4 linked regions of the Lonchura striata genome follow. The protein of the gene in region 4 purifies or fractionates together with the protein of the main gene of each other region. This does not show direct contact. Links are inferred from orthologs where the notes say so. Each region holds a gene or a part of one and is shown on either strand. Other genes may lie near its edges.

Evidence for each region.
Region 1: the proteins of SKP2 (region 4) and USP18 purify together in Homo sapiens (affinity purification with western blotting; 4 studies listed by BioGRID and IntAct, with this or other methods). This does not show direct contact. The link is inferred for Lonchura striata from reciprocal best matches to the Homo sapiens genes SKP2 and USP18.
Region 2: the proteins of SKP2 (region 4) and FOXO3 purify together in Homo sapiens (affinity purification with western blotting; 3 studies listed by BioGRID). This does not show direct contact. The link is inferred for Lonchura striata from reciprocal best matches to the Homo sapiens genes SKP2 and FOXO3.
Region 3: the proteins of SKP2 (region 4) and CCNA1 purify together in Homo sapiens (affinity purification with western blotting; 4 studies listed by BioGRID). This does not show direct contact. The link is inferred for Lonchura striata from reciprocal best matches to the Homo sapiens genes SKP2 and CCNA1.

What each region holds. Positions count from the first base shown.
Region 1 is NC_134607.1:13,675,932-13,683,630, reverse strand, and holds the start of USP18 (ubl carboxyl-terminal hydrolase 18), read right to left. Parts: upstream 3,013-7,699; 5' UTR 2,782-3,012; intron 2,137-2,781; 5' UTR 2,108-2,136; coding exon 1,939-2,107; intron 1,293-1,938; coding exon 1,196-1,292; intron 1-1,195. UniProt on the Homo sapiens protein: Interferon-induced ISG15-specific protease that plays a crucial role for maintaining a proper balance of ISG15-conjugated proteins in cells. Regulates protein ISGylation by efficiently cleaving ISG15 conjugates linked via isopeptide bonds.
Region 2 is NC_134605.1:69,784,085-69,791,246, forward strand, and holds the start of FOXO3 (forkhead box protein O3), read right to left. Parts: upstream 3,001-7,162; 5' UTR 2,986-3,000; coding exon 2,392-2,985; intron 1-2,391. UniProt on the Homo sapiens protein: Transcriptional activator that recognizes and binds to the DNA sequence 5'-[AG]TAAA[TC]A-3' and regulates different processes, such as apoptosis and autophagy.
Region 3 is NC_134604.1:65,660,942-65,668,238, forward strand, and holds the start of CCNA1 (cyclin-A1), read right to left. Parts: upstream 3,001-7,297; 5' UTR 2,898-3,000; coding exon 2,766-2,897; intron 1,705-2,765; coding exon 1,461-1,704; intron 1,245-1,460; coding exon 1,123-1,244; intron 452-1,122; coding exon 228-451; intron 1-227. UniProt on the Homo sapiens protein: May be involved in the control of the cell cycle at the G1/S (start) and G2/M (mitosis) transitions. May primarily function in the control of the germline meiotic cell cycle and additionally in the control of mitotic cell cycle in some somatic cells.
Region 4 is NC_134642.1:37,835,064-37,842,029, forward strand, and holds the start of SKP2 (S-phase kinase-associated protein 2), read right to left. Parts: upstream 3,020-6,966; 5' UTR 2,929-3,019; coding exon 2,921-2,928; intron 2,644-2,920; exon of another isoform or gene 2,536-2,643; intron 2,283-2,535; coding exon 2,017-2,282; intron 508-2,016; coding exon 396-507; intron 117-395; coding exon 1-116. UniProt on the Homo sapiens protein: Substrate recognition component of a SCF (SKP1-CUL1-F-box protein) E3 ubiquitin-protein ligase complex which mediates the ubiquitination and subsequent proteasomal degradation of target proteins involved in cell cycle progression, signal transduction and transcription.

The sequences.
Region 1 (7,699 bases), on a different chromosome or scaffold from region 4:
ACCAATGGTAGTCAGAGGTTCAATGGAGAAATATCAGACACCACACCTGAAGGAGCACAAGTCAGTAGCAGAGACAGCAGCTCAAGAAGAACCAGAATGGGGACATTTTCATCAAAAAAAGAGAAAAGGATCCCATAGTGCAGGCTGACAGTTCTAAAGTAAAAGGCCAAAATTTTAAGTTGGCTTACTCCTGAAAAAGAGACAAGCCAAGCAGGACCTCAAGTGCTTTCTGGCCTCTAGAAACAACATTAGTTGCAGCCAATTCCAGACCTTTGTTGCCTCCCACTCATTGATGTCCTCACTCTCAACTTGGCCTCAAAATTTCATGGGCACATATATCATAATGCTTGTATTTCAACAATATGCCAACAAAACTCTTAATTCTCCCTAAATTTACAGTAGCCCACAGGTTTTTCTTTCTTCAAATAAGCATGGTAACCTACAATCTACATTATTTAGCTTTGTCCATTTATGACACTTATCATTTCTGCATATCTGAAATCTGTCTTCTTTCTCCTCTGCTTACTAGTGGGCACGTGAGAAAGGACTAAATAGAAACAATCCACTTAGATTACTAAATCTGCAGTGAAGTGAGTAAACTGAAAACAAATCAATCCAGTTCTTAGTGTGGTCAGTAGAGACAGAGAAGCCCAAATCCTCCTCAAGATACTCGTGGACAACAGTCAAGCAAAACTAAGTAATGCTAGGTATTCATGATCTGCAACAACACTTCTCTGTCAGGTGCTAGCCAAGGCAGTCAGGGCCCAGAGGCAAGGGATTAAGATATATTTATGTTTACATGCTTCAAGTGACAAAATCAATAGTGGATATGGCTACATGTGACACACCCTTTATTATAATGGCCTATGAGCGAGCCTGGAATAAAATTACATCCTGTTAGGGAAAGGAGAGAGATACAAGCCATGAAGACTCAGCTCAGGACACGAATCAGAGATGATTAGCAAGTCTGGACACTGCAACTTCTACCTTTGCAGGACCTGTCAGTGCATGACAGACACGACAAGGCAGACACCTTGCTGAGGGACCAAAAGCATCCTGATGGCACCTCAGTGATCCAATACACAGTATTGGATATATATATATATTGGATGTATATACAGTGTATCCCATATAAAAGGAGTAGAGATAACAGTGCAACAATGGAAATATCTCAGGGAGCTCAAACAGGAGGTACCTTCGGAGTATCCTTGTGAAGCATATGTTCATGAGGAACACTTGGAGCAGAGAGTTCAGACAGGAGCTCTGCCCAAGGTTGTACAGTCCAATAGCTTCTGTAGGGGAGAAAAAGATGAAGTGAGGCCTGGGGATAGGTACAAGAAAGGAAAGTGAAAGTTATTTGGAAGTGGCAAACTCCTCTTGTGCACATTCAGTAACTCAGTGTATAGGCTCAGCATCTTGGTCAGGCCTGAAAAAGTGTTCAATCTATTCTTTCGTTGATCAAACAGATAAAATTTGGTTTTGTTTGGCAACTGACAGAAAAAAATCCAAGGAAACCCAGCTAATGATTCTCAGATTTCTCCCAGTTCCTCTATTTTCAGTCCTCTCACAACACACCTCAACATAAAATAGAAGAACAGGAGGCAAAGGCTGCCTGTATGAGGAGAATAACCAGAGCCTAATCCATGGTTTGACAAATCCAGCACTTCTGGCTGTGTTTGGAAAGAGACAGAACCAGCAACTAGGCCTTTTTGGCTGCAATGGCCAATTTGAGGACTTAAATACAGAAAAAGCTCTGAGATCTTAATGTAATTAATTCTTAAAAAAATCAAAATGGTTACTTAGCAAGGCAAAATGAGAATTATCCTCAGTGAAGAGATGATAAGGAATAGGAGAAAATTAAGCCTATGAACAGAGAACGGAACAGTAGGCAAAAGAAATAGAAAATATGACAGTGAAGAATAGGCAAAACATTATTACCATTTTTTAAGTCTGCCAGACCAAAGACTGATGTCAGCTTCTGGTTTTTGGCCTTCACCTCTTTGGTTTCCTCTTTATTATTTTGTATTTCAATTTCTGCCTCCATGATCTCGCTTGGTGCCACTTCTGGTTTCTTATTTGTTTCTTGACGTCCACTTGTTTGTCCCATTAACAATATTGCTCAAGGACAGAAGAGACCTTTTCATTATGAAAAAAATGAAATCAAAAAAACATTGAATGGTTTGGGCTGGAAAGGAGCCTTAAAGATAATCTAATTTAAACCTCCTGCCACAGGTCGGGATGTCAACCACTAGATCAGGCTGCTCAGGGCCCCATCCAGCTTGGCTTGGAATATCAATAAAATCAGTAAGACTACTGCAACAGCACATGGGATATTTGAATTAACATGGGTATTGAAGAGTGCAGGCTATTGCTAAAGGAACAGAAATGGAGTCTGATGACAATTGCTTATCCTGTCTTCCTCTTGTGGCTAAATAAATAAATGAGCCTTCAATTCCACAGAAACAGCTCCATCTAGCCAAGGAACTCCACATATCCCTGTTCGGAAAGATTTGGTCAATAAGATGATTAAAATTGCCCAAAAGCAGATGTTGCAAAACTCCTCTGTTTGGAAATAAGCCATCTTTTATTTAAAAAAAAAAAAAAAAAAAAAAAAAAAAGTAGCCCAAGTATTGAAAAGGTCAAATTTCACCTTCTCTTCTGACCTGCTAAGCACATTTGGTTTCTTTGCTGGGCTACCTGCATTGGTTTTAACGCCCAAGTCGCAGCACTACTGTGGCACTTTGGACTGTAATTTTGAAACACATTTAAGTACCAACATACCAGTTTCTTTTTCTGTTCCTTCAAGTGATCACAGGCAGAGTAACTGTTCATGCAAGAGAACCATTATAATGCCTTGATTCTTAAGGGAGTATTCAACAGACCATTACTCTGACAGTCTCCTGCGGCTCAGCTACTAAAGCAAAATAAAAACACACAAACAAAACCATCTGATAAGAGTTCAAATGCAACTATGCAAAAATGAAACTTCCTAAAAGCCAACATGGAAACAGAATCAGAAAAGAGAGTATACTCTCTGGGAAGGGTGGGGTGGAGACCCAAAAAATGCTCAGAAGTTATTATTTTACAAATATTAAACAGCTCATAAAATCAACCAAAGGCCAAGCACTGAAAGAATGAAGAAAAGCTACTGAGAAAGGGAAATGAGCAAAATCCTCACTCTGCCTTTCATAAAAAAAAAAAAAAAAATCTTTGCTTTAAAAGCATGTTTTTAGTTTAAGTATGCCTAATAGTGTCAATTATCAAAGTTACTGAAGATTCAGGCAGAAAAGCTAGAAATTGATTTTTTCCCCCGATTATTTCTTTTAAGATTAAGTATACTTATTTCCAATTGTACTTTTTGATTGTTTGCTTTTGAAGATTAGTTTTGATCTCTAAGTGTGGCACACTAAGATTTACCAAATATTGTCAAATTTGCTGGGGTTTTTTTGGTGGGGAAAAAAAAAAACAACAAACAAAAACAACAAACTCTAAAAGGCCATTACTTTTTATACCCAGACCTGGTGATTAGAATAGCTATGCAGGAAAATACAAATTTCATCTGATTCTCTCTTGCCAAAAGAGAGCCTGAACACTGACTGCCCATTTTCCTGAAAATGATGTAATGATACGTTCAAATTTCTGAAAGCTGAGCTGGAGTGGGAGCTCATCTCAGGCTGGTGGGTTTAGCTGGTGTAGAGTCAGCCAGGAGGTAAGGGATGCTCCCAGGCAGTGGGGATGTCAAAAGAGACAGAAAGGAGAGGGACAGGCAGCACAGAGGTAGCTAAACATAGCTAGGGATATATTGGGGATAAAGAAAACCTGCAAGATGCAGGTTTTGTCAAAAAAGGGAGGATTAAGAGCAGGATTAAAGAGCAAACACTGGGCTGAATGACTTCGGGTGGCTTGAGGAAAAGGTAGAAAGATTTTAGGGATCTTAGGACAGGAAGGTGCAGAGGGATACAGGAGGACTTGTGTCCTTGGTTTAATGAAATTTTCTCCCAGTCACCACTATCAGGGATCCTGTTGTAGGAGCAGGGACACAAACAGAATTTCCCAACCCTCGGAACCTCCTCGTTTCAGCTATCAGAAACACAGCCTTCCTAAGACTTGCACTGGACCTCCTTTTCTTCCTGCACAGGTATATAAAAGAGGTGGTGAGTGAGCCAAGGGACTGAGCGCCTGGCTCTCCTCCTGCCCCCCATTTCTCCGCTCTCAGTGGAGGAGCAGCGTCGCTTCTTTGCAGGTCGGGGTAGTACTCGGTACCTCAGCGCACCAGCACTGGGCAGAGATCAGGGAGCAGCGATACCCTCCGCCCCATAATCATCACCTACCCTGACATTCCTCTCCCTCAGCCAGCCCAGCGTCCTCCCTTTCTCCCTGGGCTGCTCCAGCCTCCGTCCGCCCTCCCAAGACACCGGTTTCTCATGCCAGACCCCGAGCTGTCCCTTCACTCCCCGCACCCCGTGCCCGAGCAGAGTTCCCACCTCTGGCGCTTGCTGTCCCTTCCCTCTCAGCTCCTTTTCCTTCCTGGGAATCTCGGGGTGCCGATGGGCTGCCGCAGGGAGGCCAGGTTGGACGGGGCTCGGAGCAATCTATTCTAGTAGAATTATCTCTTCACCTTCTGAGGAAGGTGTCCCTGCCCTCAGCACGGGGCTTGGAACGAGATGATTTCAAGCTCCCTTCCAACCCAATCTATTCTAGTAGAATTATCTCTTCACCTTCTGAGGAAGGTGTCCCTGCCCTCAGCACGGGGCTTGGAACGAGATGATTTCAAGCTCCCTTCCAACCCAATCTATTCTGTTTCTGTGGTCCCCCTGAGGTGCTGGCTCCAGCAGTCTCGGTGTGACCACCCACCCTTGAGGGGAAGGAAGCGCCTAAGAGCGCATCACCTCCACACTTCTCCGGGATGCTCCTGAAAGGAGCACTCAGCTGCCAAACTACTCTCCGTGATTATTCCCCTCTGCTTCCTTCCCTCCTGACACGCTGCGCCTCCGGGCCCCAATCTCACAAACCAGCAGAAGGGCTCCTTACCCATTCAGGCTGCGGGCAGCGGGGCCGGCACACCGCGTCTGCCCGCGGAGGAGCCGCTCCTCCGGGGCAGCGGGAGGAATGCAGGACTCGCTCGGGAGCGCTGCGGGAGCCGGCGGGGCAGCGGGAGGAATGCGGGACTCGCTCGGGAGGGCGGCGGGAGCCGGCGGGGCAGCGGGAGGAATGCGGGACTCGCTCGGGAGGGCGGCGGGAGCCGGCGGGGCAGCGGGAGGAATGCGGGACTCGCTCGGGAGGGCGGCGGGAGCCGGCGGGGCAGCGGGAGGAATGCGGGACTCGCTCGGGAGCGCTGCGGGAGCCGGCGGGGCAGCGGGCGGGGCGGAGCGGCCCCGCAGCGGCAGCGCCCGCCCCGCCGCTCAGTTTTCATTTCCCGCTCGGTCCGGAGCCGGCACAGAAAGTGAAACTCGGAGCCGCCCTGCGCCGCCTCCCGGTACGGAGCAAGCTGCGGCAAAGCGGCCGAGGAGTAGTCGCTGCCGCTTCTTTGTGCCTTAATGCACATCGCTTCGCGTGTGCCTGCCGGGGGAAGCTTTGGGAGGCTAAACTGTGTGTCAAAAGTAGGTTAGAAACTGTTGCAAAATAGCTGATGATTGTTTAGCGCGTGCTGTTAGTTTGGTTATTGTAAAAGGGTAGATAAGAGTATTTGCACCTGAGTAAAGTGCACCAACCCGCCCCCCCCCGCCCCCAGGCGAAACGAGCCAGCCTGGACAGAACTGTAATGGGCCAATCAAGCGCCTTAAACCCTCATGCAAATGAAGGATCCAAACAAAAACCAAACCAAAGGGACAAAAAAACAGCATAAAAAGGGGGTATCTACCCACTGAACCCGTGTGGCTCCGCTTGGAACATCGCGGAAATCACTGCTCAAGAAAGAGGACCCAGTCCTGGCGCTGCAGCATCCTCGATGGGAATACTTCTGCTTGGCCCATGGGCCCCCATGCTTTAGGTCTTTCTTTTTTATATAATAAATGCTGAAATCACTTTTAGTACCAGGAGTGTGGTGCCGTTTTTGTCCACACACAGCTGAGGACAGCAGGCGCTCCCAGCCCTGTGTCAGGAACTTGTGTGCAGCCCCCAGCCGGCTTCGCTGAGCCGTGGGGAGGAGACAGCGCACGGAGGCTTTCAGAGGAGCTCTCTGGAGCCCACCACTGCTGTCCTTGTGAAGTCCCAGCTGCAAACCCTCTGGGCAGGTGATGGGGAACCTGCTCACACTGCCTGCCTCTGCCGGAGGCAGCACAACTCTTCAGTTCTTAGCAGTCTGAGGTCTTCAGTCGAGGCGTAGGGACACTGAAAACTGTCCTGAATTGTCATGAGGGGGTATCTGTAGGGACTTCTGAGCACAAATGACTCAGTGGCTTTGTGGTAGTGACTCTTAGCAATAGTTTAAATTTAGTGATGTTCCCTTTCTATTACTGGCTTGTGTGGAGACTGCCCGAGAGAAGGAAAGGAAGGGAGAGAAAAGAACCGCTAAGCCGTAAATTGTCTACAGAGAATGAAACCACCTGAGCAAAGTGCAAAAGGACACTGGAGGTTAAACAGGAACTAGATCTGCCAGGTGGAAGTCAGTAAAGCAGTGTGCAGTTGAAACAACATTTGATAATGACCCCTATGAGGGCTTGGGTGCTTAGTTAGGAGGAGAATTACGTCTTAAGAAAGTTTTAAGCTTTGCCTGCAGAACTCAGCCATGACACGCCACTTCCAAAGCAGGTAGCAGGAGAAGCCTGAGCCCAGAAATGGGCTCAGATGAAGGGATGGCTCAAACTGAAAGGTGCAGTGTTTGAGTGTCCAAACACAATGCCCCTGGGACAAAAGCTGCTAGCTCCTGGTAATTGCCTAATGTCCAAAGAGCTCCAAAATGTGCATTGACTGCTTCAAGAGCAGGGCTCCTGATCACTGAGTGTCCTTGCAAATAAAATAAATTGTAATCTTGGTGGTCAGGATGAGATCTAAAACTCCTTAGGCAAGTTAAGAAATCCACATCCAGTGTTACGGCAAATCAGCCAACATGAATTGCCTCATCCCAGGCATGAATGTCCCAGTACTTTGAAGAGTTTTCGCAGCTGAATCATTGTGTAAGGGAGGCATGACAAGGACTTATCCCACTTAGACTGAATCTCGGTCGCTGTTACAGGTAAAAGTGATCTAGCCAAATTAATAATTAATAAAAATAAGTTTTTATTCAGCAATCAAAATTCGGTCTCAGACAGCCACAAAGGACAGTGCCAAGCCCAGGATCAGTGCTGGGTGAGACACAGGTCTGACCACTACAGCAGAGGGGCCCCTACATTCACCCTGACCGTCCTGTTCAAGCGGTTTTCAAAGAGCTTATTCTGCCTGAAGCAGTGTTCTTGTGATCAAGCTTTTCTTCCTTTCAGACTCCTACATACCTGTGAAAAATGCATACTTTATGATTGGCTTTTCGCAAATGTTACAATGAATATTATATGTGTAATGTTAGAAAGTTATGCTGTATTAATTCTCTTAAGTAGTGTGTTAAATACAGTTTTAGGTTGCAACATAATGTTGAAATAGAAACTCTACGATGTAAGATTTTTTTTTTTACTGGCTCAAGCAAGAGATGAAATAATCAAGAAACTCTTCATACAGAGATGGCAGTGATTTGGGGCCCATAAAGAGTTACTGCCTCCTTATCAGA
Region 2 (7,162 bases), on a different chromosome or scaffold from region 4:
AAAAGCTGACATTAGTTCCTGAAGAGTTGTATTCATTACCTGGGAAGGAAACAAAGATGATAATAAGATATAATGTGTTTTAATATCAGGAGACTAAGATGGAGTCCCCATATAAGAATATTGCCTCTGCACAAACTAAACTACTCTACAGCCAAGAAACTGACGTAGTCCTCTTCTGAATGTATACGCACTTAAAAAAAAATCCTAGCCTTGCTAAGGACTTACGTTTTCCAGTTTCAGATGCCTGGCGAATTATTAGCTCCTGACCTCCCCCTGGCCCCTTCCAGTATGCCCCTACCACCCACACACAACTACACCCATCGTTAATGTGACTGAATGTCTTACCCTAACTTTAGAGACATCTCATAATCAGAGGCAGAATTTGCTGCTACCAGTGTGACTGCATGTCCTGAGAAAGGTCATCCTAAAGGCTTGTGAGAAACTTCTGAACTAAATTATAACAGAAGAATCTCAAGGGATCCAAGTTTTTAACATTTTAATTACCTCCAAGTACCAGTTAATGCTGCTCAGCAAAGGAATCAATATCAAATTAACAGTATAAAGTGTCAAAAAAATTGTTACAGTATTAAGGATACTAATCAATGTAAGCACTTCATATTATGGCCCAGATTCTGCTTCTGCTAAAGTGAAAAGGAGTTTTGTCACCAAATTCAAAACAGTGTTACCCCCATTGTTAGGTAAATCTTTGTTTGAATAAGATATTGAGAATTCACTGAAAATTCAAAGTACCAGATAAAAATGCTGGATTTGCCGTAACAGCTGACATCTAAAGCCACTGCTTGTGTGTGAAACCGAACAACTTATGAAGGCACAGGCTGTCATTGGAAGATGTAACCCTTTAGCACATTCTGCGTCACACTTGTAAAGTCAGATCAAAATTCAACATCTAATACACACAAAAAAGCTGTAAAAAAATATGTGTGGTTTTAAAAGCCTTGTCTTCAGCTAGCCATGCCAGCAGTAAACTTTGTGTTTGTATTTTCTCCAGCCTAAGACAAGTCTGTCAACTAAATACTTCCTCTCCTGTGCTTCATTTGGAAGGTAAAAATCATACAGCCGCACTTCAATTCCTAGCAGCAAGTCCTACTCGGGCACCAAAATACATGATAAGGCTGCTAGTACAGAAACTGCCAGAAATGTTTCATCTATACAGCATTTGTGACCAATTTGTATACTGAAAGTTATCACCTGATCCAAATCTAGCTAAATTCAAAGAGAAAATTTAATTTTTTCTATAAAAGCACTGAACTTGCTGGCAAATTTACCTTCAGCCATCCATACAAAAACTCAGTGTCAGATGCTGCTAGTATCGGCCCTCAGCAGCAACTGAACCTTGCTGGGATTTCCTTCTGCAAACAGTATCGGCATCAAGCAGCACCTGCATTTTTGTACAGCTGCAAGTATGTGACATTTTGGCGTCCAACAGACGCTGACAGATGAACAGGAAAACTAAGGAAAAAAAAAAAAGCAGTTCTGAAAATCACTTCAAATGTGCTTTACATGCAGTTCTGGCTCCTGGTAGGCCTTATATGACTCTTTCTTGAGGGTAAAACCCTGCCTGCTTGCAACGTGCTTTTGCACGCGCTGAGCAAACAAGCCACAAAACCAGATATTTTTTTTTTTTTTTTCCCCCTCACTTATTAAAACGGTAGTACTCTTAGCTGCTCACTGTCGCAGTGCTGGACAGAAAATGCTGGGACTATCAGTAGACGGTGCTCTCATACACTGGAAACGTAGGAATCACAAACCACGCATTCCAGGGGCTGAACAGCCAATAACTCCATGCTTTGATTAACTTTATGAAGAAATGTCAAAACGCGAATTTCCCTCTACTGCTTTTGAGGAACACATGGGCAAAAAACTGGGGGTTTCCTTGACAAAAATAATAAAGTCTTTCTGTATTTGAGCTTTGAGATGCAGACTGACCATACATCAAAGCAATTCTGCTCGTTTCCAGCATTAACTACCTCCGGTGTTACCATAACTTAAAAAAAAAAAAAGGGCAAAGCAAAACCCACACACCTTACAAATATTTTTCATTTTTCTTACTCTCTCCCTCTATCTTTCTGCTTATGTGCTTTTGCATCACAAAAGTCAACTGAGCTCCAGCGCGTACTCTGCCCTCAGAGTCAATAGCCCTCACCGCTTGTACAAAGCGACAAGAAAGAGACAAAACTTTCCTTAATCCCTCTCCTAAAAAAAAAAAAAAAAGCAAAGCCGACAGGGCGACCACCATCAGCACAACCAGCGCCCGGCGGGCTGCTGTCGGGGCGAGCCGCCAGCACCCCGCTCCGCGGCTGCATCTCCAGGGGCAGCCCGCCCGTCGGGGCGGCGCGGCGGGAGCGCCGCGGCCCCGGGATCCCGCCTCACCTTCCACCCGGCCGAGCTGTTGCTGTCGCCCTTGTCCTTGAAGTAGGGCACGCAGCGGACCATCCAGTCGTAGATCTGGGAGAGAGTGAGGCGCTTCTCCGGGGAGCTCTCGATGGCGCGGGTGATGAGGTCGGCGTAGGAGAGGTTGCCCCACGCGTTGCGCCGCGACGAGCACTTCCTCGGCGCCGCCGCCGGGCCCCCGCTCAGCCCCCCGCCGCCTGCCGCCGCCGCCGCTCCCCCCGGCGAGAGGCTCGGTCCCTCCGGGCCGCCGCCGGGCAGCGGGGCCAGCAGCCGCGCCGCCTCCTCCGGCACGGCGGTGGTCGCCGCCGCCGCCGCCGCTGCTTCTCCGCCCGCGGGAGCCGCGCTGCCGACGGTCATGGCCGAGCCGCCCCCCTCCTCCTCGTCGTCCTCCTCCTCGGGGATCATGGAGGCGGCGTCGGCGGTCGACTCGCCGGCGGGCTTGGCTGGGCTGGCCTGCAGCTCGGGCCTCTGCAGGGGCCAGGTGCAGGAGCGGGGGCGGCTCTGCGGCTCGAACTCGGGGTCCAGCTCCACGTCCAGGGGCGAGAGCGGGGCTGGGGGCGACGCCTCTGCCATCTTGGCCTCCCCCGCGGGCGGCTGCGGGGCGCTGCGACGGGGCGGGCGGGCGGCCGCCGACCCCGCTCCTCCTCCGCCGCCTCCTCGGTGCCGACGGGAGCCTAGCAGGCGGGGGTCTGCCGGGCGGGCATGCCGCGCTCCGCTATGGGCTGGCCGGCTCTCCGCTGCGCCCCGAGCCCCGCTCCCCGCGGGCGATGCGCACGCCGGAGCTGGGAGGCGGGGGGAGAAGGGGAGGGAGGGAGTTAAAAAAAAAAAAAAAAAAAATCAGATTAGGAGCCGGAGCGGCCGCGCAGGGCGGCAGCACGGGCCGGGCGGTGCCGGAGGTGCCCGCGGCGCTGACCTCCGCGCCGGCGGAGCGGCGGCCGCTCCCGCGGTGCGTGTGTGCGTTTGTTTATGTTTCACTCCATGCGGATGCAGAAGTAGCTTCAGCGAGAACCGCGCTGTATCCAGCCGGGAGAAGACCCCCTCACGCCCCCGGTGCCTCCGAGCTCGCTCCTCGTCGCTTCCGCAGATATCTTGCCTTTTGGGGGGGTGGTCCTTCGCGCCCTCCGTCGGCGGGAGGGCAGGGAGAGCGGTCCTTTGGGTTACACCGAAGACTTTTTCCTTCTTCAAAACGCCCTAAAGGGAGCCGAAGTCTTAGCATACATCCAACTGCACACTAGCGTAAACCTGTCACTTTGCAGTGCCCCCAAGCCAAGCGCAAGCAACCCCCCAAAATCTCACAGCCGACGGACGAGGAGGCAGGAGAAGGCCACCCCGGGGGCTGCTCGGTTAAAAAAAAAAATAGTAATAAATCCTCCTTCTTGCAGGGAAAAAGCAAATGCAACGGGAACAAATCAAATCGCCAGTCTTCCAACAGGTCCAGTAGCTTTAAGCCCTCCCTAGGGCTGCCAAAGAGAATACGTTTTGTTCCAGCATCAACACCACATTCATAACCTCCTTGCTCCTGCTGCTGCCATCTTGACAGTTTTTCCCCCCTTCACTTAAGTCATTTAAAAAGCGCAGGCAGACGAGGCAGGCAAAGCCACATCGGGAGGGGCGGGAGACGGCGGGGGGGTGCTGGATCGAGAGCCACCTCCACAACCGGCAGCAATCGAAATCCGAATTCACGGGAGGAAGAAGCAGCGCTGCTGCATGGTTCCTGCTGCTCCTGCGCCTTCAGCTCCAGAGAGCCTTCCCTTTAAAGGCGAAGGATGGGAAAACGGCAGAGCGCCCGCTCCCCCTGCGAGCAGCCGGCGAGAGGCAAGCGATCCGCCCGCGCCCAGCCCGTCCGCCGCCGCAGCCCGCCCGAGCAGCCTGTCACCCTGCTCGCCGCCGACTTCCACATCCCTCCTCCTAACAACCACCGGCAGCAACACAAAGTTATAGACACACGCAGGGAGACTCAACCAAACCGCACGGGTCGGCAGGGCCCGCCCACGGGCGGGCGGTGCCGCGCAGGAGCCGCCCCAACGGGGCGGGAGCGCCGGGATGGGGGAAGGCGCCGGAGCTGGGCGGGCTGGAGAAGCCGCTGGCGCCTGGGGAGGGCAGCGCTTCTCTGCTTGCCGTCCCTGCGGCCCCGGAGCCCTGTCCGGCCGGCCCAGTGGAAAGCGTTCAAACCTCTCCAAGTACCCGGTAAATTTTTCCAAGAGTTGTATTAGGCCTGTTTCTTTTCTGTACTCATTTTCACTGGTCAAAAATTATTAGTGCACACGAGCTGTTCTGGTAAACTTTAAAATACAGAGTCTAATTTAGTAATTTGAAAACTTTCACTCTGCCTGTGGGTGATTCCAGGAACGTGTTCAGACATGTCCACACGTGAAATACAATCTCGCTGTACCTCCCTCTTAGAGGCTATGCCCTAGCAGAAAGCCCTCCAAAGTAGCTCACTTGAATATGTAGTTAATTATGGGTTGAATAAAGGGGTGACCCACAAAACCAAGGAACATAAAAGCTATTAATATGGATGTAGTTATAAATACTTCATATGGCAACTTCTATGTATCAGTTCTTACCCGGCTTGATACCGACCTAGACTGTGGTGGACTAGATTTAGTCCAACATGGTCTCCGAGACAAGATACAATAGCATGGACTGAGAAGCAGTGTGCTTCAGAAGATGTGCCGGATAAAATTAGCAGACAAACTATTCCTGATGTATTGCATTATAGACAAGTAGAGAGATTTGTAAACCATTCAGTTTGATTATAAAACAATCGAGACCCTGATCCTGCATGCCTCACGCGTGCTACTAAGTAAGGCCTAAGGCCCTAAGTGTCTAGTTCAAGAGCCACTGAAGTTAGGAATAGTTTAGTGTGATTTTATTACAAGGGACAGCATTTCAGCATGCATACAATTAATCCCTGGTTGTCTAAATATAGCAAAAGACACCGAATTAATCAGAATAAATGCAGGTTCAAGTAATGGAAATAATTTTCACTGCAACTCCATTTTGGGTCACAATGTTGAGTGCCTTGCCACGGCTTTTGTTGTAACATGGCCCCTACAAAAATGCAAGGCAGCTCAAAAAGACACCAGCCACTCTCCAATTGTGACACTGGCATTTGTGTATATGATTTAGCAGTTGGTAGGGAGGAAAACCACAGTGGCATTGAAGAGCCAGCAACCAAGTTCAGACAAAAAGGTGTGGTGAGAAGTTGCTTAGGCCAACTACATCTCCAAGGAGGCTTTCCTTGTGACGTTCAGCAGTTAGCCACAGAAGGCCACCTGTGAAACTGTGACCGGTGCTCAGCCCTTTCCCAAAACTAGCTACTGCTTGGGGCTGATTTTCACCACTGCAGAAACCTCCACATGGAGCGCATCCCAAAGCTCCAGGGAAGCACAGAACTTTGACCTTGGGCTGGGTTGCAAGCAGCAAATCTAGTCCTAAATGATATTATCATCTTCATTTATTTATTTAATTGGCATTGCATTACTCTACCAGCACTGCTATTAGGTCTCATTGTACTGGATGAAGGGCCTGCACGTGGTAAGAAATGCTCCACTCCCTGGCAGAATTGCAGTCTAAGTGAGGCAGGAGAGGGCGGGAGAAAGGAAGTAACTAAGTAGTAACCCTATTAAAAAGATGATGGACTGAGGCACTGAACAATTACATGACTGTACTGAGGTCATACAGGAAGCCCATGCCAGAACTGAGAAATGACACTGGATCACCTGAGTGCCAGCCTTGAGCAAGATTATCTGTCCTCTTCAGAATTCACTGGTATATCAGTCGCACGACCTTTATCACACGTCATGGTACCAGTTCTTCACAGCTCCGTGCACCACGTGTGTGCCCATGATAATGCAGTCTAGGGGCGTAATTAAAACCACAGTATAATTTTTCCTACACATTTTGCTTATGAAAAGTGCATGAGCAAAACAGAAAGTCACAGGATGTATTGTCATTCCATGGCTGGGGCCTCTGAAATACGCATAAAAACTGATGAAAATTGAATCTAAAGCTTGCACAATTTTCAGTCTCTTCCTTTAAGTACTTTCATGCCCCAAGGGTGGGATTTTCCAAAAGGCTCCATTTATGGGATTTTTATCACTGACTTCAACAGGAATAAAGTTAGGCCAGCCCTCAGGCCATTTGAAAGCCAGCTCACTTACTTTGCCTACTTAGACTGCAAGTGTTTTAGGGCAGGGCTGCTTCTTCCTCTGCATCTCCTTTTATCTGCTGTGGCCGTTCAGGCTGATGTGGGAAACCTGTGCCTATCACGGTATCTGGATTATATGGATCTGGCAGGGTCACAGTCACATGGCAATTGGAGACGTGCAGGTGACATTTCTGGCTTCACCTCTCACACAAATATCTAACTGCAAAAGCAGGGCTGGAGATAAAGTCACATGGGGGGTGGGAGACCTGGAATTTCTTGTCAGTACAGCATTAAGGACATCTCCTGTGAAGTGTACTGCCGCTCAATAAATTAATGTTATATTGCACTTATGTTAAACAACAGCTGCATTGTCTACATGGACCTCACACGAACAAGCATATCATGGGCTGTTTTGTGAGACACCTGCAGCCTGGTCTCTGAGAAGTTTGTCCCCTGTAATAACCCTGTGTACCCCTCCCATCCACACCATGAGAGAGTGGCTCCTTTAGTGTGTTTTTGTTCTTCCCAGAGTTCCCTACTGTGTCCTTTAAACACAGACTGGGCAATAGGCAACAGGCTTTGTGGCTGATTCAGAGC
Region 3 (7,297 bases), on a different chromosome or scaffold from region 4:
TAGCAGTTTAACACTGTAATGCTGCTGCTTCTGCTCCTGTGTTAATGCTTACAAGTTTTCCCCACTACAGTTCTTCACATTCAACAGTAAATGTTTAATTTTAATAGTACCAAAGGAGCCTATCTTGAGACATCATGAAAAGCAACCTACTAATTCAAATTACACTACAAGACTAAGCCCAAAAATAGGCTTCAGATCACCAAGATTTCAGAAGATGAAACACTTACGCAGCCAGAAGAATTGCTGCTGTTCCTACAAGCTGTAACTTCCCTCGGAGAACAGACATGCAGGAAAGAAACCTGTCCAGGAAGTTCACTGCCAAGTACAAAGTCTCTGTCCGAAGTTTATACTCTTCCCCTACTTCCACCAGCCAGTCTACCAGGATAGCACGCATTCCTGTTGTAATATCTGGCTGCTTCTTCATGTAGAAGGGCTTGGGCCTAAATCTTAGCTGTTTGAAAAGAGTTGAAGAATCAGGATGATCACTCTGAAGAGAACCATGGATGGCTGAGCTGATGAATATTCTTTATACTTACACTAAAAGGAGCAGGAGTTGTCCCACTCTTAATAAATATAAGTACTAACTACAATTGTTGTGCTAGTGGCAATTATTCCCAGCTAGTGGCATCTCTAGAAAGTAGTATTTCTACACTGAAGAGACAGATTGAAACTCTGGTGTTAGCAGGAGAATAGTAAAGCACTTCCTGGACTGTGGACAGCCTTTGCCATCAGTTGAGCCATTCAGAAGGATCTGAAAATGAACCAATCAGATTTTCCCCCTTCTTCCCATCAGGAGACTGCACTTCAGTGCTCTGACACAGGAAGGTAAGAATAAGTACTGCTATAGCCAGAGAGCTATCAGTGAGATCACATCAAACTGCTTTAGCACTTTTTCAGCATTCTTCTCCCATTTGCAAGAAGTCTTCATACCTAACAGTCAAGAGATGCTCCCATCAGGAATTAACAGGGATGCATTAATCCTGAAAGAACTTATTACTGACTATATGCTGCCTTAAGAAATTACTTTTACTATTTCTCTTCTTTGTAGTTCAGTGGCAGCCTTGAATCTTTGCAATATTGCAGCTTACCACAGGTACCTAAAAGCTTCCCATAGCAACTTACTTCAGCCTCTCGGAGGTACTGATGAATGTCTTCTGCATACTCTCCCACAGCCAGAGTTACAACATCTTCCATGTGATCCTCTGGCTGGGATTGGAAGGATGTGTCCACTACCATAGGAGAGCCTAACAGGTAATAGGAAGCAGCAAGACATTTGTATAATTAATCTCTTGACTTTCTCTCGCTAATTTTAGCTCAGAAGTGTTGCCCTTCACAATCCAAGTTAGCTTCTAGTGTTATTTATTGTCACATAATCTACACACTAACTTACAATTCACAACTCATAACCACCCTACATGTGGTTGTGCTAAGGACACCATCTGAGCAGTAACAGGAGTTACCTGAACTCAGATCCAGCAGCCGGTGAATACTGGATGTCATTGCACTGGTATCCAGTTCACAGTGGCTTAATTCCAGCTCTTCAGACACTTGGCAGCTGTAGTTTTCTTTATCTTCTGGGTCATCTCTGTAGATAGCAAAACGTTGCTTTGATACAGCACTGACCATGCAGCTGGGCACTTCGTCTTTTCTAGAGGAGGGGATGATGTTTCCAAAGCCAGAGAAGCGCTTGATAACAGCAGCATCCTGAAGCAGAGCACACAGTAACACTGTGGGAGGGCAACTTACGAGGAAAACAGTGTGTCACGTGTTTGCAAAAAGAAAATCACTTTCTGTGTAACAGACACCAATGACAAAAGTTAATGGGAAAAGCCACCAACTACCTATGATGCTTCTGAAGTTGGTGCCACTTGTTGCTGTCTTGCTGTGACAGACTCCTCACAGAAAAACTTAAGAGTAGCAAAAGTCAGGAAACCAGGGGAGCAGCATCATATTCAGAGCCTCCCACCAAGGACAACGTGGGTGCTGCTCAGTTCCAAGGGGCTAGAAAGTCCAGTCTGCTATACATTCAGCTCTGGCAAGGAGCAGTTGCAAGTGCAGCAAGTTAACAAAAGTGCTCAAGCACTGCCACAGACTTAGGAAGGACTGCACCAGCAAGAAGGCATTTCAAGTAGAGTTTGAGTATTCAAACTGAAGTTTGAATTTTTGAGCTTAAGCATTGCAACCCTTCAAACCATGTGTGACCAGGCTACAATCCTTCACACCATCTTCTGCTAGTAACACAGCCAAAACCAAGAAGAATTTGTGTACCCATACTTGCTGCTGTTTTAGGTCAGAAGAGTAACATTATCCCTGCCCCACCAGCAGACTCCAGGGGACTCAGGGGACAGAAAGGCAGAAAAATGACACGTCATTGACTTGAACTTCTTGAAGGCTCTGGCACCCTGAACTGAGCATGGCTAGCCACACACCAAGGAGAGCTTTGGGTCAGTGGACAGCCTTTCTTTAAACCACCCCCTACACTGAGGAGGGGAAGCTGTCGAGAAGCATATCCCTTCCTTCCAGGATGAATTATTTACGCAGAGTACTTCCACGGGGAAGCACCCGCAGGTTAGGACTGAGCGGTTACTAGCAGGGTTTCTCGGGAAACTCACGCTTAAGAACTGGAGTCCGAGTCACCTTCTGACCCCGCCACGCCGGGCCTCTGCCGGCAGCCTCGAGGCAGGTGCGTGCACCGCTCATGCCGGCGGCTGCTCGGCCGGGCTCTGCGGGCGGGGGGCGGCAGTGCTGCCGGCCGCGGGGCTCACCTGGCCGCCGGGCCGCCGCTGCTGCCCGTTCTCCGTCAGCACCGCCAGCACGGCCCGGCCGCCGCTGCTGCGCAGGGCGGCGGGGCAGGACTCCCGCCGCCCCGCACGGCTCTTCTCTCCAGTGCGATGCATCGCCCCGACGCCCGTACCTTTCGGAGGAGCGAAAAAACCCACAGAAATAAAACGAATTCGCGGAGGGGGGGGAAAAAATAATAAAAAATCCTTCGAAAGACCACAAACGCGCCCCCGGCAACCCCTTCCTCCCGCCCGCCCCGCCGGATAAGGGGTGCCCCACCGCGCTGCCCGGCTCCGCTCGCCACCAGCCCACGGAAGGGACGGGCCGCCCTGCGCCGCCCAGGCCGCCCGCCGGCCCCGGTAGGCGCGGCCGCTGGAGGCGGCGGCTGTTGGCCGCGGCCGGTTGGCAGCCCGGCCGCTCAACCCCCGGCGCGCCGCCCCGCCGGCCGCGGGTCGCCATGGAGACCCCGGCGGCCCGGCCCGCGCAGCGCCCGCGGAGCGCCGCTGCCAGCGCCGCCCGGCCCGCCGCCCGGCCGCTCCGCCTGCGCTCCCAAGGATGGGATGCGCAGCAGCAGCGGCTCTGTGGGAACAGCTGGGCTCGGACTTCATAAAGCCTTTGATAAAGGATGCGCAAGAAAAAGGAGCTTTTAGTTTAAGGGTGGGTTTGACTCCCGTGATAAGTCCAAGCCGAGGGACAGCTAGGTGCCGACCTGGCGCGGCTATTGCATGGCTAAGCAGTGCTCAGCTGCCAGCACGGGAAACACAGCGGTTCATTCAAACCACCAAAGTTTGTCACCAGTGATGTGGCTAGTGATACAGGCAGCGCGTTTGCTCACTTTGTGGGAAGGCTGTGGCCATGCTGGGGAACACGATTAGATTTCTGAAACGATCTAAGGAAACTGGAGAAATGTTCGGGAAAATCAGGATGCTCCTGAAGCACAAGTGCAAGGTCAGAGCCAGTGGATGCAGAGCCAGGATGGGGAGCAGCCAGTAGCAGCTCGGTGAAGAGGATAGAGGATGTTACAGTCAACCTCAGCCTGGGCATGATTCACCGGGGCATAGCTGGCCGAGCAGGAACAAACAGGAGTATATAGCATGTGTGGCACATGAGCTCTCTGAAAGTCCATAGTGAAGACAAAAGAGCAAGAGTTACTGCAGCTGAAACCTCAGCATGAGATTTAGGTTAGATGACAGAATTGTGATGCCCCAGAAGAGACAGCACGGGAAATTTAAGAATTTCCCTTATTACAGATTTGTAAGAGCAAATTAAAGAGAATTTTGTCAAAACTGTCTGTGCCTTGGCAGTGATGATACTTCTTGAGATGCTCTCCAGGATTGAAATGTAGAAGTGATACTTCTTGAGATGCTCTCCAGGGATTGAAATGTAGAAGATATGATCCAAAATTTGGATATATCAAGCAGGATCTTTTGCCAGAATTGTTTTTTTTTGCAGTTCTTCTGATCCAATCTGCATTAAAGGGCTACATTTTTTCTTCACAATTTTCTTACATTTATTTTTTAACCAATTCCCACTGAACCCCCAAAAAGGAATTTACCATAAAGGGCAAGTGGTATATCTGAAGGTGAAAAATGTTACCTGTTCATGACAAGCAATTTTTCCTTTTGGATGGGAGGGGCTCTATATACTTGCAGCAATAGGGCTGTAAGTAGGTAGTTACTGTAGTGGATCTGTCATGGCTACAGGTGTAGGCAAAGGCAAGTCAGGAAAACAGAAGATTATGCTGTATATCCATGTTCTTCTCTTTCTTTAATTTCTAACCCCCTGGTTTGCAGAAGGAACACTTCACTTGGGGGCAGTAATTTAAACATTTTTGTGCCAGGTTTTAATTTCTGAAAAGAAATTAGTTTAGTTGCCAGCCTTTGAAATCAAATATTAGCCTAAGTGGAACTTCAAACACTCCTTATCCTTTTGTTTTATGGAATTACCAAATTAATGTTCACTCTGTGAGCACTCTTTATATCCAAGTACCCATCATATCTTTATTCCATTTATATATAACTTAGGAACCTCAGCTAGCCAACAGATGATTTATTCATATTTTTATGTATGAGCAGCAGATGGCTATCCTCACTAGCCATATTGTGCATTAATGTAACTGAAACGCCTCTCAAATGCTTTTAATGAGGTTATCTAAGCACCAGTTTCTCAGGAACTCTTTGAAACAGCCCAGTATAGATTAGTACCTGAGGGAGGCCAGTGAGCTTTGCCAGCCACTATTTAATTGTAGCAGCAAATCAAATAAAGCTTTGGGCCATTAGTCATTTGCTTCCGAGCTTCCCTGTGTGTTTGAGAGGAAGCTGAAGCCTTCCTGAGTGGACTCCTAGGGCTTCTTGCAGTAATCACTGTCTTACTGATGTTTTCTAGGAAGACAGAGAAGTCAGAGCAATTCCTGACTTGGCAGGGGTGCTTCCCTCCTCTGTGCCTCCAGAAAAGATAGTGTTAAAGCACTTTTTTGTCTTGTCAGCCTTTCCTAGATCCTTAGTTCTTTCTCCTTTTTGTGGTCTTTGCTTCAAATGTTGTCCAGCTTTGGTGCTTTTTTCAGCTAAAGGGTCTTATTCCATGCTGTGGGAACAGGCACTGGTTTCTGCTTTTTTCTCTAAAAATCACAGTTAATTCCCAGTTTTTACACAGCAAGCTCTGTGCAGGCTTCAGTTCACAATCTGGGGCATGGACCCCTCTGCCCACAAATTAAACCACTGTCAGCTGTCCCCTTTTCTCTTCACCCTTTGAAGTATTTTTTGGTTCCTAGGGTGCTTTAATCCCTGGGCTTTCATCTTGGCCTAAATAGTTATTTGGTCTGCAGCCTGGGAGTAGCACCATTGCTGACAATAAAAGTCATAGTCTTACAATTAAGTGCAGGTGTAATATGAGAATCAGTTCATGGAAGAGTGTTGCAACTTTCCAGCCTTGCTCCTCCAAGTCTCACATTGAATTACAACATGGCACTCATATTGGAAAACACATTCAGGAAGGTTAGACACTTATAATTACTTTGGCCAGGTCACATTCAGTATTTGACAAGTCTTTCCAGGCCAATGCATTGAGAAACCACACAGCAGGTCCATGTGTGGCATAGACTCTTCTGAGGTCAGCTTTATGGCAAAGCGACAATGGAAATCCCCCTGAATAGCAAATCTGATGCACAGCTGCATAACACCCTGGAAAATGTGCTGTAGGAGCAGTCTTAGAGTCAGAAAGTTTCTAAAAAGAATTATGAAGTCTTCTTGACATTGAGAGCAGTGTCTGAACTCAGTGATGTGCAAGGTCCTATCAGGACCTTGTTTTATGGTCTTAAAGTAGCAAAGCAGTGGAGAACATTACTTCTTTCACACGGCTATGATTCCTTGGGTTGTGGATAGTCCCCTGGCTGAAGTGTGTTATAATTATCCTACTAGTAAATTAATTTCACATTACTTAAGCATACATGGACTGTATCTTGAGTTTTGCTGTTTTTCTGAACCACCAAAATTGGAAAAATGGTCAAGAAGTAGGACATAAGTACAGGGCTCAGGAGTTGTTGGCCAAGGCATACAAACAAGACCAAGACATAGTCTTGAGCCACCAGCTCTTCACATACAGGGTGATAGATCACTTTGCACTGTCTGTACTAGGCATTTGAACTATGTCCCAGATAGAGCCATGAGCATCTTGTTCCCTCTACATCAGGACTCTTGCTTCTGTCTTCTGTGCTTGCAGCTGTGTTGTACATAGTGTGGTTGATGCTGTGAGAAGCCTGATGCACTCTGCATCTTTATTATCCTAGTAGGTTGCCTAAGCTGGAAGCACAGTCTGCCTGCAAATCCCATTGCCCTCATGCTGGATAATACAGGGACGCTTCAGAAACAATCCTTTGCCACTCTGTCTCATGTGTGATAAGAGGCAGAGCTCACTTCAGGGAGCAGAGGAACCTACCAGTGTGACACAGCACCAGCTGATGCCCACAGCAGGGAAGCAAAGCCTAAAGCCTTGAACAGCTGCAAGGTTTTCCCTTTTGGGGTTGTGAAAGTCCTAACCAGAAGACTATTTTGCATCAGAGAGTTAGCAATCCATGAGTGTCAGCCCGAGCAGGCTGTGCTGCCCTGTGCTGCATGTACAGCTTGTCCTTCAGGATAAACTCAGCAGGGTGATGGTAACAGAGGAGCCCACAAGCAGCTCCCACTCTGTGTTTTCTAATACACCACCTGTGTGGCCTTGGCATTATCTTAAAGAAGAGCAGCAAGTTCTCATGTGAACATAGTTGTTTGACAACAGATATGATGAATACATTATTTTTTGTCTAAGAAAATTCTATAAGAGGACACAAAACCAAAATGTTAGGGAACCTTTCTACAGGATGGGACCTATACCATATGCCCTGAGTAGAGGTCTGTGAGGTGCTGCATGGCTCAGGGCTCTCACATCTGAAGGGATGTAAAATTACATATATTCTTTCTGTCCTTGTGTTAGCTCCAGAAAATGGTGTTTTTAGCAGTAGCTTGTGAAGTCTGAGTGCCTT
Region 4 (6,966 bases):
TGCAAGATCTTGGGCAGCGGAACGCAGTAACACCTGCAGGCAACAGGTGACCAAGCAGTCCTGGCAGCAGATTCCCACCAGTCAAATCAAGAGTCTGCCAGAGAGATTCATCAAATCTGGGGCATAGAATTTTACTCATTAGTGAATTCAAATGGGTAACAGGTCAAAGCTATGAGTACAACCACAGAAAGTTTTTGGTGTCAAAAACAGAGAAGGGAAAGCTATTTAATAGACTACAATAATGTTAAAACATGTGAGGCATCTTTTGGATATACATACCCACATATGGCCTAAATTGAATTATATATGTATAAATAAGATGAAAACCAGACCATTTAATGGTATATGAAAACAAAGATTTTCCTCAGTGCTAAACGAAGAGAAATAATACTTACGAAAGTCGATGCCATCTCTTGCAAATAGTAGAAACTTTCAGTAAATCCTTTAGGGGCAAACAGGCAAAGATTGCCAGAAGCAATTCATCTGGAAGTGCATCCAAAGAAATACCTGTAGGGAAAGAGCAAAACACATTCTAGTTAAAGCTAGTTCATTTTCACCTTCTGGTCAGATGCCTTGCTTGGTTTGGTTGTTAAAAGCCTCTCTACAGTTTCTCTGTAGGCCACACATCAGCCTACATCAGACATCAGCCCCACTATTCATCTCCCTTGCAGCTTATCATTGTAGGATGACATTTTTACCATCTTTGCCTAGGCATGACTGGTAAATGGAAAGGTTCCTGTAATATTCACTTTGTATACATAGTAAAGCCATGGACACTACTCACATAACTCACTTTGGGAACAAGAGCATCTTAGTTACTGCCTCTGTAATCTAATGCTTGTATGATTTTCTGGGGTTTTTTTCCCCTCTGTGAATGATCATTCTTCCTATGCATGCAAGGGTCCCAGAAGGGAGCTGAAGGTAAGTTATGCTTCTGCATGATACACAGACAAAATCAGGTACTACACACTGCTTCCTAAAACATACATGCTATCACCACTCCAAGAATTATGTAAAACAATGTGGTTCAAACCACAGGGCTTCTCTCTGGGCTCCAGAATGTGTCATGATTCATATGGGAGATTTGAGAATGGTGGAGCTCAGTAACAGCTGCCTTTAACCCAGCAGTGCGTCTTATATAAAAAGAGGATTGTCTGAAGGCATTTCCACCTTCTGTATGACAGCATAATGCCTGGAGAGAGCTGCTTATTTATTTTGCATCCCATACTCATCCAGAGTACAACCGCACTTAGACACCAAGGAAAGAAACCTAGTATTCTCTAACGCCCCTTTCAAGAGTCCAAGAGCCCTGCTCTTTCCCTTTCCAGCACAGCAGGCTGCCACCCTTTGATGTGATTTCCCTCATATGGTTCTATGCCTCTGGCATGGTCCCTCATATTGCTTGTTTCCATCAGGAGCTGGCACACAGCCCTGCTGGCACACCTCAGCCTGCACTCTTTTTACCCTTCTCCTCTTGCCTTCAAACAGGTATTTTTTGGATTGACTTTGGTTTTAGACTGATTGATTTTAGCTTGCTTTTTCTCTGTGCTCTTTAAGCACCTGGTAACTAGAATGAATGTTGCCAACAAACTTTGTCACACTTCTGCTTTTATATTAAGCCTACTTTTGCTACTGATTTTCGAGCGACCTTAAAACACTGATTCACAAACACAGCCCTGCTGGGCTGAAGTGCCACCTATGTCCCATACAGAAGAGCAAACAGGCACAGGGACATGCAACACCATCCCCCAGCACAAACACAAAGGTGCTCATGGGGTTAGGCAGCAGAGAACCCTGTTTTTCATGGGCCACAATTCTGGAGCCAGACACACCACCCCTATTTAAAGGCACACATAAAAGAGGATTTATCACCCCAAGCCTGAAAGCCGCTATATCTGAAAGTGACATTCTGCTGGATAAGAGCAAAAGAACTAACAACAAAGCAGGGCCGACTCGTGATGCTCACTCTCCATCTCTACCAAAGGGTGAGCAAAACCTGGACTAGGGTGACAGTACCTGACTCTGCCTGTCGGAGCAGCCATGGCTGGCGCACGATAACAAAGTCCTTAAAGTCCTTTTCGTTGTCCTTCACCTTCTGCCTTTTTGGAGGAAGACAGGGTGATGACACCAGCAGGTCCTGTGGTGTGTTTTCATTGCCCAGCTTGTCTTTCTTAAGGGCCGACACTCCCATACCCGAGAGAAGCTCCGAGGTCTTGCCGGGGTCCCATTCCAAAGTGGTGGAAACATTAGTGCTAGAGGATGGGATCTCCTGGAGGTGCTTTCTGCAGACACAGCAAAACCCAGAGGCTCTGAGAGTACTGCCAGATTGACACTAAACACAGGAGGGGGATCCTTGAAGCATTTCAGTCACACGTACTCCACATCCATATGCAGGGCAATTAAGTGTGGGATATCTGCGGGCGCTGGAAGCACGAGCGGAGGCCACAGCGCAGGCGTGTGCTCGATCTGGCAGACTGAGGAAGAGCGCGCCTGGGACTGAGCGCGCCTCGCTCCCGGATGGGGCGGGCGAGGCACCGGGGAGCGGAGCCAATGGAGCGGCGGGACGCGGCAGCCTCCCGGCGCCACCAAACCCGCCCGCAGCCGCGACGGCAGCGCGGGCACCGGGACGGGACGCCCGAGCAGGTGGGGGAAGCGCTCCCCGCGGCTGCCGGGATCCCGAGGGCAGGACCCCCCGCTGGCCGGGGACAGCCCGCGGGGCCGCACGCGTACGAGCGATCCCGGCACGGCTCCCATGCCCAGGAGCTCCTTCGCGCTCCCCGGGTCCCGCACCCGCTCCCGGCGCTCCCACGCACGGCCCCCCCAGGCACCCCCGCGCAGCCAGGCCTCCCGAGGGGTCCGTGAGGGCTCCCACGCAGCCCGGCAGCGGAACTCGCACGCGCGCGTCCCGCCGCCCCCGTACCTGTACATGGCGCTCGGAGGTCCGCGCCTGCCGCGCGCCCCGCGCCTTTCAGCACCGCGCTATCCCGGCGCCGGCCGGAAGCCGCGGCGGGGGCAGGAGCGCAGAGGCTGCCGGGAGCTGTAGTTCGCAGCCCTGTGCCCGCCCGGAGGCGGGGCCGTGCCGGGCCGGCGGCAGCGGGCGGCGAATGGCGGCGGCTCCGACGCGGAAGAAGCCGGGAGCGGCCGCCGCTCCGTGTGCCGCGCTCTGAGCCGGGTGCCGGCCGGGATGGTGGGCGGTGGAGCCCCGCGGGGGACGCGACGCTGAGCGGCTGCTCGGCCGTGGTGAGACGCAGCGGGCGGGATGCGGGGCCGGGCGGAGCGGGGCCGCAGTGCCGAGTCACGGCCGGGAGCGGGGACAGGAGCCGGGTTGGGGAGCGGCAGTCCCCGGGCACGTCCCCGGCGACAAAGACGCGGAGGGAAGGATGGTCGCGGAGCACGGCTGGGCGAGGGCGGTCGGTGCGTTGGTTTCCAGGCTCGCATGCCGGGTGTTGCCCCCCGGGCACGTACGGCGGGGCTGTGCTGGTTCCGAGTCCCTGGAGCTCGGTGCTGTGCCGCACAGGCCTGTGCGCACACCGCCGGGCGGGGACGCCGGGGAGCGCTGGCGCATTCCAGCGAGAGAGGTTTTCTCTGGGAACACCTGGTCCTGAGCCTCACCATGCCTTGAAGAGACCCCGCAGTCTTTTCACACCGCGGGACTTTCAGCAATACAGCTCTTCCTGCGTTTTTTACGCTAAACTCCTTGTTTTGAAATTGGTGGGGATGGAGAACTAATTCTGAACACACCTACAGCCTTGCTCTTAGTCAACCACTTGATTGCAGATGCTGTCCTTTGTTTGCTGCATAGCGATGGAGAGACGTGCCTATAAAATTGAGGGTGGTAATGGAGCCCGTAGCAAAGAGCACACAGCTTTCAGTCACATACAGAGAGAGAATGATGTGACTCAAATTAAGATCCAAACAATCTTTCAAAAAGTATTTTTTCACCGTTTCCGGTTTTATCTTAAGTCACGGAACAGTTGTTCAAAGATTGTTTAAGCAGATAATCAGATGAAAAAGAGGTGGACTTTTGGGTAAAAAAAAAAAAAAAAGCTGAGTTTATTTCACCTTTTTTTGCAGCCCCTTTTTCCTTTGTGAGTCATGTAAATCTTTTTTATTAATGTATGGGAAATCGAAAGAGGGTTTTACAAAAAACCCGAGTGTTTTTTAGAATCTGGAAATTAATAAATAGTCTGCCTGAAAGCAGTGTTTGGGCAGTAGTCATTTGACTGCCTTACTGACACCTGCTTTGTGTGAGCGCAGTCTCCCATCAGGCTGGGAGACTGGCAGAATCCTTAACAGATATGCTTTACTCTTTCTAGCCTTTCTTTAAGAATATAATACTGGAGTGGATTTGTTAAATTTGGTGCTATATTAAAGCTCAAAAGTGTGGGGGTTTTCATTCTCTGCTGTTTCATTTAGTAGGTTGAGTTTTCTGTACCAGGCAGAGTTCATTTGTAATGTAGATGTCGTGAATGCAGTTGCTCTTAGGTTGGCAGGGTAATTTAATACTGTTGATAGTAGGGAGTCTCTCATATTTAGGGTGTATTAAGCCTGAACTGAGTCCTTTATGGTGCATTCAGTGTTAGTAGTTGGGTAGAATGAAAAACTGCTGATTTTGTCCGTCTAAAAAGAAGCAGGAAAATCCTAAGCTAACACAGGAGCATGTCCTTATGTTTTATTGCTTAAGTTACACTTCCTGTGCCAGTGTTTCAGCTTTTAATTTTATTTGTATTAATTTGTAGTTGCCTGCTTTTTCAGAAACTGAGTATGCTGATAAGTACTTCTCAATTCATGGTGAGGGCTCTTGTTACTTTGTCATTGTCATTGCTTTAATAGAAGCATCCTCTAAGCCATTGAAGGTTCCACAGTACAAGAGAGCTCTTCTGAAGTGGTTGTTTCAGTACAACATTGTTTTAGCAATTTTGGAATTCCAGCAAGCAGATACTACGTAGCTGTATGCCAATAGTGAGATGGCTGTCTAAATAAAGTGATGAAACAGGATGATAGGTAAGAGGCTTAGCTTTCTTTGAGCTAGCAACCAGGTTCAGTGGCAAATGCTGCTTTCCACAGGAAGGCATGGCTTTATAGCCTGCAGTAATGTATTTTAAGGCCTGATCTAGTAGCACAGGTCCTAGACGTATCTGCATCTGCACTGTTGGATTGCATTCAGTTCACCAGAAGAGCTCTTCTCAAGTATTGCATTTCTCACTTTGTGGATTTTCTTCCATTTAATCGTTCTGTGTGTAGAGCTGGTTTTAAATGGTTTCTATCTAAAAATTTTAAACTGTTACTTTGAAAATGTATATATATTAATTCAAAACAACTCTGTTATTGGTCTTGGTCTTTTGAAAAAATAGCCTTTCTTTTTTGTGTTTTGAGATTAAAATGGGAACCAGAGAAGAACATAAAGATGTAGTTTACTGACAACTGCAAAGTCACTTTTGTCTTTGAAAGTGAGTTAAGTTGCAGTAGGAATCAATTCCCTCTTTACTTTAGAACATTCAGTACGTTTTTATAACACTTCTGGAAGTACACTCATGATAGTAGCTGAGCGCGGCATCTTGCACAAAAACATTTTACCTTTTGTTTTGGTAGAAGCTTTTTAGGTGTGACTGTAATAAAACTTTGTGACTAATGAAGTGTATGCTGTATAATTTTTTTTGTTTACGTAGCAAAAGGTGTGGTGCTAATGGGCACGAAAAACTGCATGCCAGATGGCAGTGCCTTAATGAAGCTGATACTTTTAGAAGCTGTAATTGTTTTGTTATTTTTGCTTCTGCGAAATTAGCTGTTATACTGTAAATTGAAAAGACTTTTATGTGGAAGCAATAATGGTGCAAAAGAACAGTCAAGGACTTGCTTTGAATAAGTGATTGAGAAATGGGTGAGATATCCTGAGTTTTTAATGTACAAATTATCTAACTAAAGTAGAGTACAGACAGATAGTAAGGAGGGGATTTGTCTTAATGGAAGTGTTGATAGTTTTATAAACATGTTTGACAAAAGGCAGGAAAGTAAAAGTGTGTGAATCTTTGACTAGAAACAGGAAGATAACTCGCTGGGGAGAAAAAAGTCACAGAATAATTGTTCCTCTGTGTCCATCAAGGTAGTAATGACTTAACAAACTTCTGAGGTTTTTTAGTGTACATAAGAGAGTTTTCACTGTGTAGTGCCCTCAAGCATTGTAGATCTGCTTAAGCAATTCACTGAGAAATCAGTAAAAGAAACTGTTCACTTTACGAAGTTCTAAAGAGATATAAAAGTAAATAGAGAGGAATTTCAGTAATAGCATTCCTTTTAAATCTCAAGAAAAGTGGAAGTACTGGAAGTCTTAACAGCAAAGCCATAGCAAAAACTATTTCACTTAAATAAAATTAGTGAAATGTTAATCTCATTGGAGAGACAAGAAAGACTGGCCACAGTAATAAACCTTTTAAATAACGCATAAAATGGCTGTGATAAAATGATGCTCATTACAGAGGTCTGAAGCAATTTAAATAAAAATGTAACAAGTCAGTGACATTTTCTGTAATGGATTTGTGCAGCTCACTGTCCCTTTGTGTAATAGCTTTGCTGTGTAAAGCTGTATGAACTTTCTGACAGTAGTTCTGATGGTAAGAGAGTAATTAAAACACAGAAGGACAAGCAAAGCAAAAATACATAATGGCAAACTATACCAAATGAATTGAGACCATTGTTTCTCTGAATAAAGAGAGGAGTAGGAAGGTGAATCAAAATTCTTGACATTTCAAACCTAAAAGAGGTGCATTACAAGTAGACTAACGCATTCTTTTCTGTGTTTTTATGCTCTATTAAAGCTTATGTACAGACTTTAAATATGTATTTAAGGTACACTCCATTAAAAAAGTTGTTCATTAGCTATCCAGAAACATTTAATGTAAACATTTAACCCTTTGAAAAAATTAGTTGATTGCTTCTAAAAGGAGGAAAAAAGAGCAGAATAGAATT